Lepisosteus oculatus: one gene and its partners. The protein of the gene in region 2 interacts with the protein of the main gene of each other region in a pairwise test. Links are inferred from orthologs where the notes say so. Each region holds a gene or a part of one and is shown on either strand. Other genes may lie near its edges. The genes, in order: gpx7, get3 and unm_hu7910.

Evidence for each region.
Region 1: the proteins of get3 (region 2) and gpx7 interact in binary tests that used the Homo sapiens proteins (3 or more experiments, as listed by UniProt). The two-hybrid records come from large-scale screens. The link is inferred for Lepisosteus oculatus from reciprocal best matches to the Homo sapiens genes GET3 and GPX7.
Region 3: the proteins of get3 (region 2) and unm_hu7910 interact in binary tests that used the Homo sapiens proteins (3 or more experiments, as listed by UniProt). The two-hybrid records come from large-scale screens. The link is inferred for Lepisosteus oculatus from reciprocal best matches to the Homo sapiens genes GET3 and ASPH.

What each region holds. Positions count from the first base shown.
Region 1 is NC_090704.1:14,935,796-14,939,550, reverse strand, and holds the start of gpx7 (glutathione peroxidase 7), read right to left. Parts: upstream 2,702-3,755; 5' UTR 2,599-2,701; coding exon 2,467-2,598; intron 1-2,466. UniProt on the Homo sapiens protein: It protects esophageal epithelia from hydrogen peroxide-induced oxidative stress. It suppresses acidic bile acid-induced reactive oxygen species (ROS) and protects against oxidative DNA damage and double-strand breaks.
Region 2 is NC_090706.1:16,860,047-16,863,801, reverse strand, and holds the start of get3 (ATPase GET3), read left to right. Parts: upstream 1-894; 5' UTR 895-994; coding exon 995-1,137; intron 1,138-3,755.
Region 3 is NC_090701.1:50,419,868-50,423,622, forward strand, and holds the start of unm_hu7910 (aspartyl/asparaginyl beta-hydroxylase), read right to left. Parts: upstream 2,955-3,755; 5' UTR 2,626-2,954; coding exon 2,583-2,625; intron 1-2,582.

The DNA of each region.
Region 1 (3,755 bases), on a different chromosome or scaffold from region 2:
GAGCATGATAAATAGATCATTTTTAGTCTACACAAACCCTGCATGCTGCATCATTCAGTCTAAACCATCCCTACAGTCGAGCATGGTGGTGGTAGCAGTATGTTATAGTTCGGCTTCTCCTCAACTAGAACTGGGAAGCGTCTCGAGAATGCTGATAACATAAATAGAGCAAAGTATCGGCAAATGATCTGCTTCAGACCTTAAACTAGTCAAAAATGCACCTTTTTTACTTTGGCTGAGAGAGAATTTGGGCCAATCTGCCAAAAAGAACAGGTAAAAATTGCACCATGCCGGTGTGCAAAGTTAGTACCTACCCAGAAACATTTGCAGTTCTAACTATTACTGAAGATGCTTTTACCAAAAGTTGAGTCTTGTTTTTTTGTTTCTTTAGTTTTTCTTGACAAATGACTTTTGTTGAATGCTTCTGTATAAGCATTCAGGTTTTGTACAAAGAACTCACGTTTTTAAAAAAAATGCAGATGCATAATTTTGTGACTTTAAGGGGCTGGGCTGGAATTTTTGGAAAGTACTCCATATATTCAGAAGTTACTGTCTCTAATGTTTTAATACTACCTCAAAGGCAGAACTAGTCTACAGCAGACAGAAGGCAGTGTGGCTAGTCTTGGCTTAATGGGAGATGTCCCTTTCAATGTACAGTAGAGTGGGGATAGGTGATCCAGGCATTCTGCCTTACATTCCTATTTACCTTTGGAAAACTGATGATGATAGCTCAATGTATTTTTTCTTCACTCACAGCCAATGACAAAAGCATTGACACTGTTACCTAAATACGACTTTAAAGAAAGTATTTTAATATGGAACTGCATGTGATAAAACCTTAAACCATCTACAGTATTAAACACTTATGTTCTGCAGAATTATACTAAAATATCTGGTCATTAAAAAGGTATGGTCACTTATTCACTTCAAATGTGATGTCTACCCTTAAAAAAAGGCCTGCTTTAATTGTCACAGAGGTGTGATTCACCAGTTACAGGACTATCCCTGCTGTTTTTCCAGGAGATCCACTTTTTTTACCCATCTAAACAGTTGTATTAGGGAATGTATGAAGTTATGATTAAATCACTGATCTCATGACTGCAAGATCTTGGTCTTTGTTCCTGCTATGGTCACCTCCGTTGTTCCCTAAAGCAAAATAGTTTACCTGCATTTCTTTAGCTCACCTGGTTGTATAAAAGCAAGTAAGAACCATCAGCGAACACAAGTGATCTGCTAAATTCTGTATTACGTAAATTTCAGCAGCTGGTAGATAAGACTTTCTTTATACAAAGCCATATATATTACAATCACCCTCACACCCGAAGAAGACTCAACAGCCGAAATGTTGTGTTTTCTTTCTTCTCTTTTCAGCATGGAATAAATCTTTTTTTGTTTCTTTGCAGCCTACGCATGCTGACGCAGCTACCCACCTGAACTATATTAGAATCATTACATTTTTTATTAGTTTTTAGTGTGGTGTAATTGTATTAACTAGTGTATCTCATATTTCTCAACAGTTATTGTTGTTATTTATGAGCTCCATTCTGGAGGATTTAATCTCAGTACACGGACTACGGTGATTCAAATGTGAATCAATGGCTCCCCCTGGTGATACAAGTATTTCATTCTATTTCTGATTCTATTTAAAGATTTAAATGCCATAGTACACAAGCTACATGGAGTGCTGTTACCCTTAAATACATTTTTGTATCTCCTAATATGGTTAGACACTTATGACTTTATATATACTACTCAAATTACTTAAAAGTTAGTAAATTAAGGCATTCACTTATTAAGTGATTTTATTAGAATAACAGAAGTGTGCATTAGATAGTTAATTTAAGATGAAGCATCATGCCTATATGTGCAAGTTTATTACACATAATCCAAAAGTAACACAAGAAAATTGAATAATAAGCATTTAACTGATGAAGATCCCATAACTCTGCAGTAATACAATAAATTAAAGGTCTACATTCTACAAGGCCGATTATACAAAATGTATAAAAGACGACGATTTATAACAAAACTAGTCTTTTGGTAATAAAAGCACAACAAGCGCTGTTACGATATAAATTAAAAATGTAATTCTGGTAAATCGCACATTTTATTACTAGGTATCTAGTAAAAGGTATGTTCCTTGAATTACCACACCATAAAAACTTTAACCCTCTACTTTATATTTGCCATGCAAACTGTCGCGTATGCGTGTCAAAATTTGGGTTTTGCAGACAGACTACTTGCCACGTATACAGACGACAGGCACTCAGAACTCCAGACAGATTGTGGTTAGTATTTTATTTTAAGAGATAAAGACCAAAGCACAGAAATGGCATACAACATCTTTCAAAACATGCATGTTAGAATTTAATTGTATTCATGCAAAACAAACTACTAATAACCATGTTGGATGCATGTCACTATTTCTCGCACACGTCTGAGCATCTACGTTTGCATTGCACTTACCGAACCTCTGTATTTCTCCAAGGATACTAACTTTCCCCTGATGTTCACTACTTTAAAAGTATAAAAATCTTTCTGCTTTGCCTCTAAAAAGCTAGAAACAACTAAGAGCAATGTAAACAAGATTAAAAGCATTGTGAAAGATGTAACTATAACAATTCTGGTGAGCGAAACGTAATACTTTTACTGGATAGATCCTGAAGTAATTCAACCCCAGAACTCTGATTTCAGACAGAGGTTTTCTCGACGTCACATCTCATTGCCGTAAAGCACGTGCGTATCGTAAATTACAGTTAACCCCTTCTGGTCTTAATATTGGTTTTTGTTTTAAAAAAGGGAAGAAGTTATTAGTAATTTCATTAATGTTACCGTCTCTTCTTCTTCTTTTTCACAGCCTTAGTCCCAGACTGTCCTGGGGTCAGCTGCTTTGGTTGCTCTTCTCCATTTGTCTCTGTCGAGCACATCTTCCTCACTCACTTCACATACCTCCATATCTTTTCTCACACAATCTATCCATCTCTTTCTAGGCCTGCCTCTTCCTCTGTTACCTTCCACCTCAAATTCCATTACCCTCTTTGTTACTTCCTCAACGTCCCTCCTCATGATATGTCCATACCACCGTAACCTCGCCTCTCGCATCTTCTCAACCACATCCACCACCCTACATCGTCTACGGATTTATTCATTTCTGATCTTATCCTTCATTGAAATCTGCAGAATCCATCTCAACATCCTCATTTCAGTTCTTCTCATCAAGTTCTCTTCCCTCTTTCCAACTGCCAAGCATTCAGCTCCATATAGTAGTACAGGTCTAATCATAGTCTTGTACATTTTGCACTTTAACTTTCTGGGAATTTTCCTGTCACAGATTATTCCAGTTATTTCTCTCCACTTGTTCCATCCAGCTTTCACTCTTTGTTTTACTGCCTCCAGTGTTTCTCCTCCCTTTACCAGTTTTGATCCAAGGTATTTAAAGTCATCAACTTGTTTCAGTTTTCCTCCATTTGTCTCCTCAACATTGGTCATAGTATCTCCTCTTTTCTCCATTACCATTATTTCAGATTTTTCTGCATTCATTTTCAGTCCACCCTTTTCCAGACTCCTCTGCCATTTGAACACTATTAATGTTACCGTAGATCGACAAATAACTCAAAACCCGAATTCAGTCCAAAAAGAGAAAGAATATCCAAACCCACGTGGTTAGGAACGCTCCCAGAGTTGGGACACCCATTCTCACCTGTATATTCCCATTTCCTCAGTGGTCCCTGCCCATTGCTACCTACTCTGTCTTC
Region 2 (3,755 bases):
AAAAAATTAAAAAAACCAATGAATGAAAAAATGCTAGAAGTATTACTTCTGGTTCTGGATGTAAATACGATGTTTATAAAACGGAAATTAATTTCTTCCCGTAAAATGCTCTTTATATTGAGGTATCATCGGTTAAACTTTCACTTGATAAATTGTGTTCACGCTTAGTTTATTAACAGAGATCTAATGGGGGGGATAATGCATGTCTCTTCATATAAGAAATCCAAAAAGAAATGAACAGAAGAGCTCTATTCTTAAACATTTTCCTCTAGGGGACAGAAGATAAGACGTTTATCTTATCCTAAGAAGTCGGCCATAGAAAGCCAATCTGAACAGGTTTAACACGGAAACTGGGTGTAATATCTAAATCAGCAGAGGTTCGACTGTGTTATAAATCCATGGCAGATGTACACTAGTGCCTATATTATTCCAGAAACAAAATGGCCACCTGTTTACTATCGGGGGACGCATTCGTTGTGTCAAAAACCACAGTCATCCATTCTGTACATTAGGTTGCTAGTTGTGTATTAATCTGAGTAGTATCAGCTTCTACAACAGGGCTCGAAAGCGTTATTTTTCACTATCAGTACCCTTTGTGTAGAGAAATTTCTCCTTTTTCAGTTTTAATATAATTTTCTTTTTTTTCTGTTGTTTCTGTCTCACTGTTAATTGTGATCTATACTTACTAATTTTGAATTATTATATATATACAGTATATTCATAATGATTTCTGGAATATTCCCACCCTATCTTCACCCTTTCTATTGAAAAGTGGTATATACCGTGACGCACAAAAGGAAACACGACGTAGACATTTGGCCTCCATGTTGGCTCCGCTACCAGAGAATCTGTGATTAGTCGCCTAACTAATCGGGGCTTTGTCGATGAGCCAAAATGGCGCCCATAGCTGCTTCCTGATCGTCCGTCCACCCACCCACCCCTACCTACTATAACATTTGGTAGGCGCCAGTACCCTGACTGACCCGGTTTCAAGATGGCAGCGGCAATGGAAGAGGAATTTGAAGATGCACCTGATGTTGAACCGCTAGAACCGACGCTGAAAAACATTATCGAGCAGAAGTCGCTGAAATGGATATTTGTTGGAGGCAAAGGCGGCGTAGGCAAAACAACTTGCAGGTACGTCAAAATGGCCGAGTCCATTCAAAATCCAAACCGCCTGCGCCGTCTTGCTGTGTTCCGTACTGTTACTACGATACTGTAGTTTTATTAGTTTTTTCCTTCCTTCCTTCGCATGTGAACTTGTAACCTGAAACGCAAACCGACGAGAGCAGAGTTTCATCCCTGTTAACGTGAACTGCAGCGCCTTGATTGTGTCGTCGCTGTCAGGGCGACCTGGATGTATGATTTACAACTGTCAGTTTTGCAGCGCCGTGAATGAAGCACCTTAGATAACCTGGGCCGTTTTTTCTCGGCTGCAAATGATTGGAAAGATCGAACCTGCTCGAAAATGTGCAGTCAAGTTATTTAAAATGAATTAGCCCAATTCCACTGACTTGTCAACCTGCAACATGAAGTGGTCTTGTTGTTATTTAGCAAGCGTAAGCTATGAATTAGTATTTTTCTAACAAAACAACTCACGCAATACAGATAAATGTATGACTGTAATCTGTCCAGGATCTGCGGGGTTCGTTATATTATAATACAAATATATTTTATTGGCTGTACGCAATGACAACAATTAGCTGCGCATAAGATTTCATGGTCAGCACACGCGTTACCTTGCTAGAGCACTGTATGATTTTGGGATACAGGGGTTCGGGGAGCAGAGTAGAGTAGAATTCCGATTCCGGGACTTGTTCTGTCTGAAGGCGTACGAGCCGTGATGAAGCAATTGACAATGAAACACCTGCTCTCCAATCACAAAACAAGTTTTTAATACAGTATTAATTCTAGAATAGGTTTTCACAAGCCTCCATTTATTTTAGAAAAGGGGGCAATTTGAAGTATCAGTGAGCACATCTGCTTAAAGTTAGGTAAGCACTACTGCTAAGAGAGCAGGAAATGAACTCAAAGTGAGTTCATTTTGCTAGCTAATGTGTTACCCAATTGTTTTGGTGTCTTGTTTTGTTAAGTCAAAGGCGGCAGCCGTAGAGAAAGATACAGATGATCAGCTAGAACTAAAACATGTGCTCTAATGCAGAGATTCAGCTTTTTTGCCTTATCATATATCAAATGTAGAGAGTGCACAGCTGATCTGAAAAGAAAGTAATATATTAAGTTCTTTTACTAGAAAAGTTCTTTTTTGGGTGACTGGTTTTTCTGAAGACATTTTCTGCATCAGCAGTAACGAAGTGCTGTTTCACGCTCTGAGCTGTGGGGCGAAGCATTCTTCTGCCTCGTTGATCACTTCACACACATGTTTTTAAGGAGTTCCTTTCAATTTCTGCAGAAATGAGATTGATTTAACCATTTAACAATGATTAAATAACGTTGTGCTTATGCTTAAGAGAGACTGATCAGTTGCCTCTCCTTTGTATAAAGGAGGCCTTGTTCACAGATTGCTTGTAAAAACTAGAGAACAGAACAGTGTGTTTACTTCTAGCATGCAGGCAGTTAACCTTCCGGTTGCTGACCCAAAACCTTAGTAGCGCAAAGTCTTGAAAACACGCTGTATTTATCATGTGAGAATACCAGCATGATGGGTTTTACTTAATCACGCAAAACCAGGAATTTGAAACACTGTAGAAAATCTTTGCTTCCTGTGTCTCGAAGCACATTGCTGACTGAGTCTGTGACTCAAGTAAACAGGCTGGGCTTGCCAACATGACATCTAAAGATATGTAAAGTTACCAAGAACCGCTTCTGTTACCACTGGTGTGAGAAAGGAGGCCTTCAGCCCACCGTGCTTGTTTGGTGGCTGTAGGTTTATTGGTTTTGGGATCTTAACCAGGTTTGTCTTTAAGGATCCCAGTGATCCCAGGGAGTCCCCTTCAACTATATGGATGTCCCAGGCACCCATCACTTTTTGTGTAAAGTGTCTTTTTTTTTCCCTCACAGGCACTTTCTTCATCACGTTTCATTATAATGTACAGGAATGACTTTACCTGACTTTATCAGGATTTGCAATGTTTGTCAAGACCCCCTATAATCTCCTTTTTCCTTTAACCACCTTGTGTGCAATGATCTTGTTAGACCCGGAATTATTTCCATGAGCTGTTCTTTGGACTCTGGCCTGTTCAATTGATAAGTGATGCAGTACATCCTTCAAGAGCTGAAGTCTGCAGAACCTGATCTTAGAGAGCCACAGCGTCTTCGGGCCCACAATTTAAATCTCTCTCAGCTTTGAGCAGTTTAATTGGATGCATTATTAGCTTCACTAGTACAGCTGATCTCAGCTTCGAGATTTTGGTTCATTAGAAAATATGAAACTGCTGCAACAATTGCAGTACTGTGGCTCTCCTCAATGGGTTACAGGTTTCTCTTCTAGGAGCTGAAATTAAACAGTAAGCAGAAATGCTGATGATTTTTAATCTTTGAACCCCTAAGAAGGCACAAGTGGGTGCTGAGTGGAAATGCATGTAAAACTGAGAACGGGAGCATTTTTACACAGAGGGTAGTGGGAGTGTGGAACAAGCTACCCAGCCATGTTATTGAAGCCAATATGCTGGCTACTTTCAATTAGTCTGAATCAGATCAATGAGCTATTAAAAAAGTGAATGATCTAGATGGGCATAAAGGTTACAAAAGAGGAGGCCGTTCGTAATATTCCTCTCTGCTGCAGGAAGGCATTGTTG
Region 3 (3,755 bases), on a different chromosome or scaffold from region 2:
ACCAAACCACATGTTAAATTTAAGTAAACTGTTCTATCCGAAGAGGTCACCAGCTTTGACACCTGCCCTTCGTGCAGAGGTAAGCAATTTAATTCATCGATGGTCCCAAACATTTTCAACGCAATTCATGCAGTACTTTTCACCCCAGATGATCCCAAAGCACTTTACAAATGGAACTCAGTTTATCTACCAGTAACTTAGCTGATGTATGGCAGAAGCCCTACTACACAGTAGCAGCTTAGGATGTTCCCCTTAGGGGAATTGCTTCACCAATTTAAATAATCAAGATTGTCCAGGCCTACAGTGGACTTCGACCAAGACAATGGGGTAACGCCCATATGCATCAAGCAGTGCCACTGGATCAATGATGACCAAGGGCATAAATGAACAAGACATTTCTGACTCCGAGGAAATACCCAATTTAGTATAACTATGGCTACATACAATTCCATCGACTAAAATATTAATGTCACTGATCATTAAGATTTTATGAGAAACATTAAGACTAACAATTTATGATGGCCTGAACATATTGTGACACATTCACCAAATCAATACTTTCAGTGAAGCACCACATACAAATACTTGTGAATACACTTCAGAGACTTCTTCCAGCATATCCAACCCTGTTTCTATAAAACCTGGATTAGAGTTTTTAACATAACAAATTACCAATTTCTAAACACTTGGAAAAACATTTGCATGTGATCAACTGCAAATGACCTGTTAAAGGAAGCAATCTGCAGAGGGACAACAGCTCTCCTAGTTGAACTGGCCTTAATCGATCAATAACACACAAGTAAAAGGCGGATGATTTAATATGAAAGTGTTTATTTTAGATTCAGGAAAATTATACTCAAGCGTTAAAGAAAGTAGTAGGAAGACCTCCATTATAATATCATTCAGTGTAGTTACCATACCACAGAGACAGAGCTTTAGACAGAGGTCAAAGAAGACAAAAAACAGGATGAGTCCAGGTTAAAGGGGCTACATCTCTCCAGTCACAATAGAGGGACACAGGAGATTTGATTCAGGTATAGATGAGGTCAGCCAAGGATACTCGCAAATCAAGGACACAAGGACACTGGAAACTAAAAGGAAACTAATTTGGTACAAGGAACAGGAAATGCTTCTTTCCACACATAGCTGTATCTAGAACAGGTTTTCTAGCCAGGGGGTCGTGGCCAAACGACCAGGATGCACTGAATGGCTGCATAGTTTGCCCTTATATTCTGTTTCCAATCCTCAAATTTATGGTGATCTAAACAATTAGGGTGACTGGAGATCCCTGGTGCATTTTTGTAAGCTGTAGCTCGTAGATCTTCCCGTCTTAAAACAAGTCTCAAGTAATTTCCAAGATGAGGGCGAGCTATAAATGAACTCCCCAAAAAATAAAAGATGCTAAAAGGACTACATATGATATATGAACGTCTGGTGAACCTTTCATGGCTCTTATTAAATTTAACTTCTGAAGGTGTCTTATGTGCATTTAAGGCTGGAGTATTAAATCAACCAATAATCTAGCCCCATCTAGCAGGGCCCTACACGTCCGCTCTCCACATGCCAGATCCGGCAAACTTGGCAGGCCTGCGAGGTGAACTTTGTAGCAAGGGAATGCAAAACACACGTGTGCACACGGATGCGAGAACGTAAAACGGCATCTGGTCACTGTTCCTCCAACCCTGGAAGCGGGAAATCGTAGGTGTGGATTTGGATAATTGAAATCTCACCCCCCCCCCTTCCCCGCCTGTCGGGGGTCCTCCGTTTGAACTGCGATAGTAGCCACGTGTAACCCCCCTCCCATCGTCCCCCTCTTTTGTGTGACACGTGAGCATTCAGGAAAAGCGACAGCAAACGCGAAAGAAATGCCGAGCAGCTTTCATCCTGCTGGGCGGATCTTTTGAAGAGACAATTCGTGGCCCCCCGGGCAACTGACTCTAATCAAAACCAGGACGCCTCTCCGCCGAGTCCGCCCCAGCTACCTTATGTAACGCAATTTGTTCTCGCACAAGGGTTCCACTTTTACTTGGGCTGAAAGTGCACGCCACAATTTCTCAGCCTTTTCTTTTTTTAAAATCAAAAAGCCTTTTGGATCAGGAGAGGGGATAACATCCACTACCTGCAAAAAATTTTACTTCCATGCCTCATGTTTAACTCTTGTTGGCGTTTTAGATGAGGTTGGTTACAATGTAAAATGTGAGATAAAAGTAAAAAAAAAAACTAATATTTTTAGTTTCCAAACACAAGCGAGGCAACTGGCACTGGCTTTTAGAATGAATACTGCAAGGAGCGTAAATAATACATAACAAAACTACCCTGACTAGCACCACACATTACGGCGTGTGCTGTTGCAGTTACCTTCAAATGATATCTTTATCGCGAATTTAAACGACGCATTCAGTATTACCCCGGGGGGAGGGGGGACATCAGACCTCGCTCATTCTGCTTCGGATTATCTCGAACGTTTCCGCATGCATGAGCGAATACAAAATATGTATCGACCCGATTAATGTAATAGGCCTTCTGCACCGGTACAGAAGGTTGCACGTAACCCGAAGAAAGACCATATTAAAAACACTGACCTTTTTTTGGCGTGTGTCCCTTTGCATTTTTCTTGGTGGCCATGGCAATTAAAAACTGTTTTCCGTCTCTGAGATAAACCCTAAGTTGCACGCTCAGTCTCCCTAACTTCCTCGATCACTGCCCCCAGTGAATCCCAGGGAAGAAAAAAAAAATCAAATCCCTATGCCCCTACCGCAACCCGTTTACTTTTTTTGAGTGACTCCACGCCCCTCCAACCGAAAGCTGGCTAAATCTTTTCGGAGGCGGAGAGACCGACGCCCGAATCCAATCGCGGAAGAGGCGGTTGCTCTACTGAAGCGTGTGGATTGCCGCAGGTTAGATCCGCCTTGTAGTGTTTTTTCCCACCATTTTTTCTTTTGCCAGCACTGGGAACGTGGCAACATGGAAGAGACGTTTCCTCGCGAGAGCTTCGTTAGGTTGCTTATGAGAGAGACGTGATGCGAGAACGCAGGCTGGAGGAAGATGGTTTCCTCTCATCCGGACTTTGTTTAGGACCGTGATAAAGTTGGTGTATCCCACATTAGAAGAAGAAAAACGTCTGTGTTTGAATATGTCCTGAAAAGAATTGTTCATGTGCACTTCCGGTGGCGTGCCACTTGACCACTTGAGCTAATAATAATAATTATTATTGCTTACACTTATATAGCGCTTTTCTGGACGCTCCACTAAAAGCGTTATACAGGTAATGAGGACTCCCCTCCACCACCACCAATGTGCAGCCCCATCTGATATTTTGTTACTTCTTTTTTTTAACAGTAATTTAATTCTCAGAACGATGCTTTCCGTGAGCGTACTTCAGATTTTGTAATGCTGCAGTCCGAGTCGTTTACTCCAGGCACTCACGTTTCGAAATGGGATCATCCATTGGGCTAGATGGACTTAATCGTGTTGACTCATTTTGTGGTAGAAATAATTATTTTTGCTAAATACAGTCTTATGTTTGGGTCGATTTTGAAAGTTTTAAATCGACTGTGCAGCAGACACTCAAGATATGAATTAGTGGACTAGTGAAACTACTTCCAACTCCTGTTTTCCGATTTATATTGTTCTCCACGGTATTATGTATAAACTGACCGGAAAGGCAGATATCTTTTCTCAGGTGCTGTACAGTTTATTAAAGCATAGCAATGCAATGAAAGCGTCAGTGATTAATTCTCACTTATTTTGTAAAT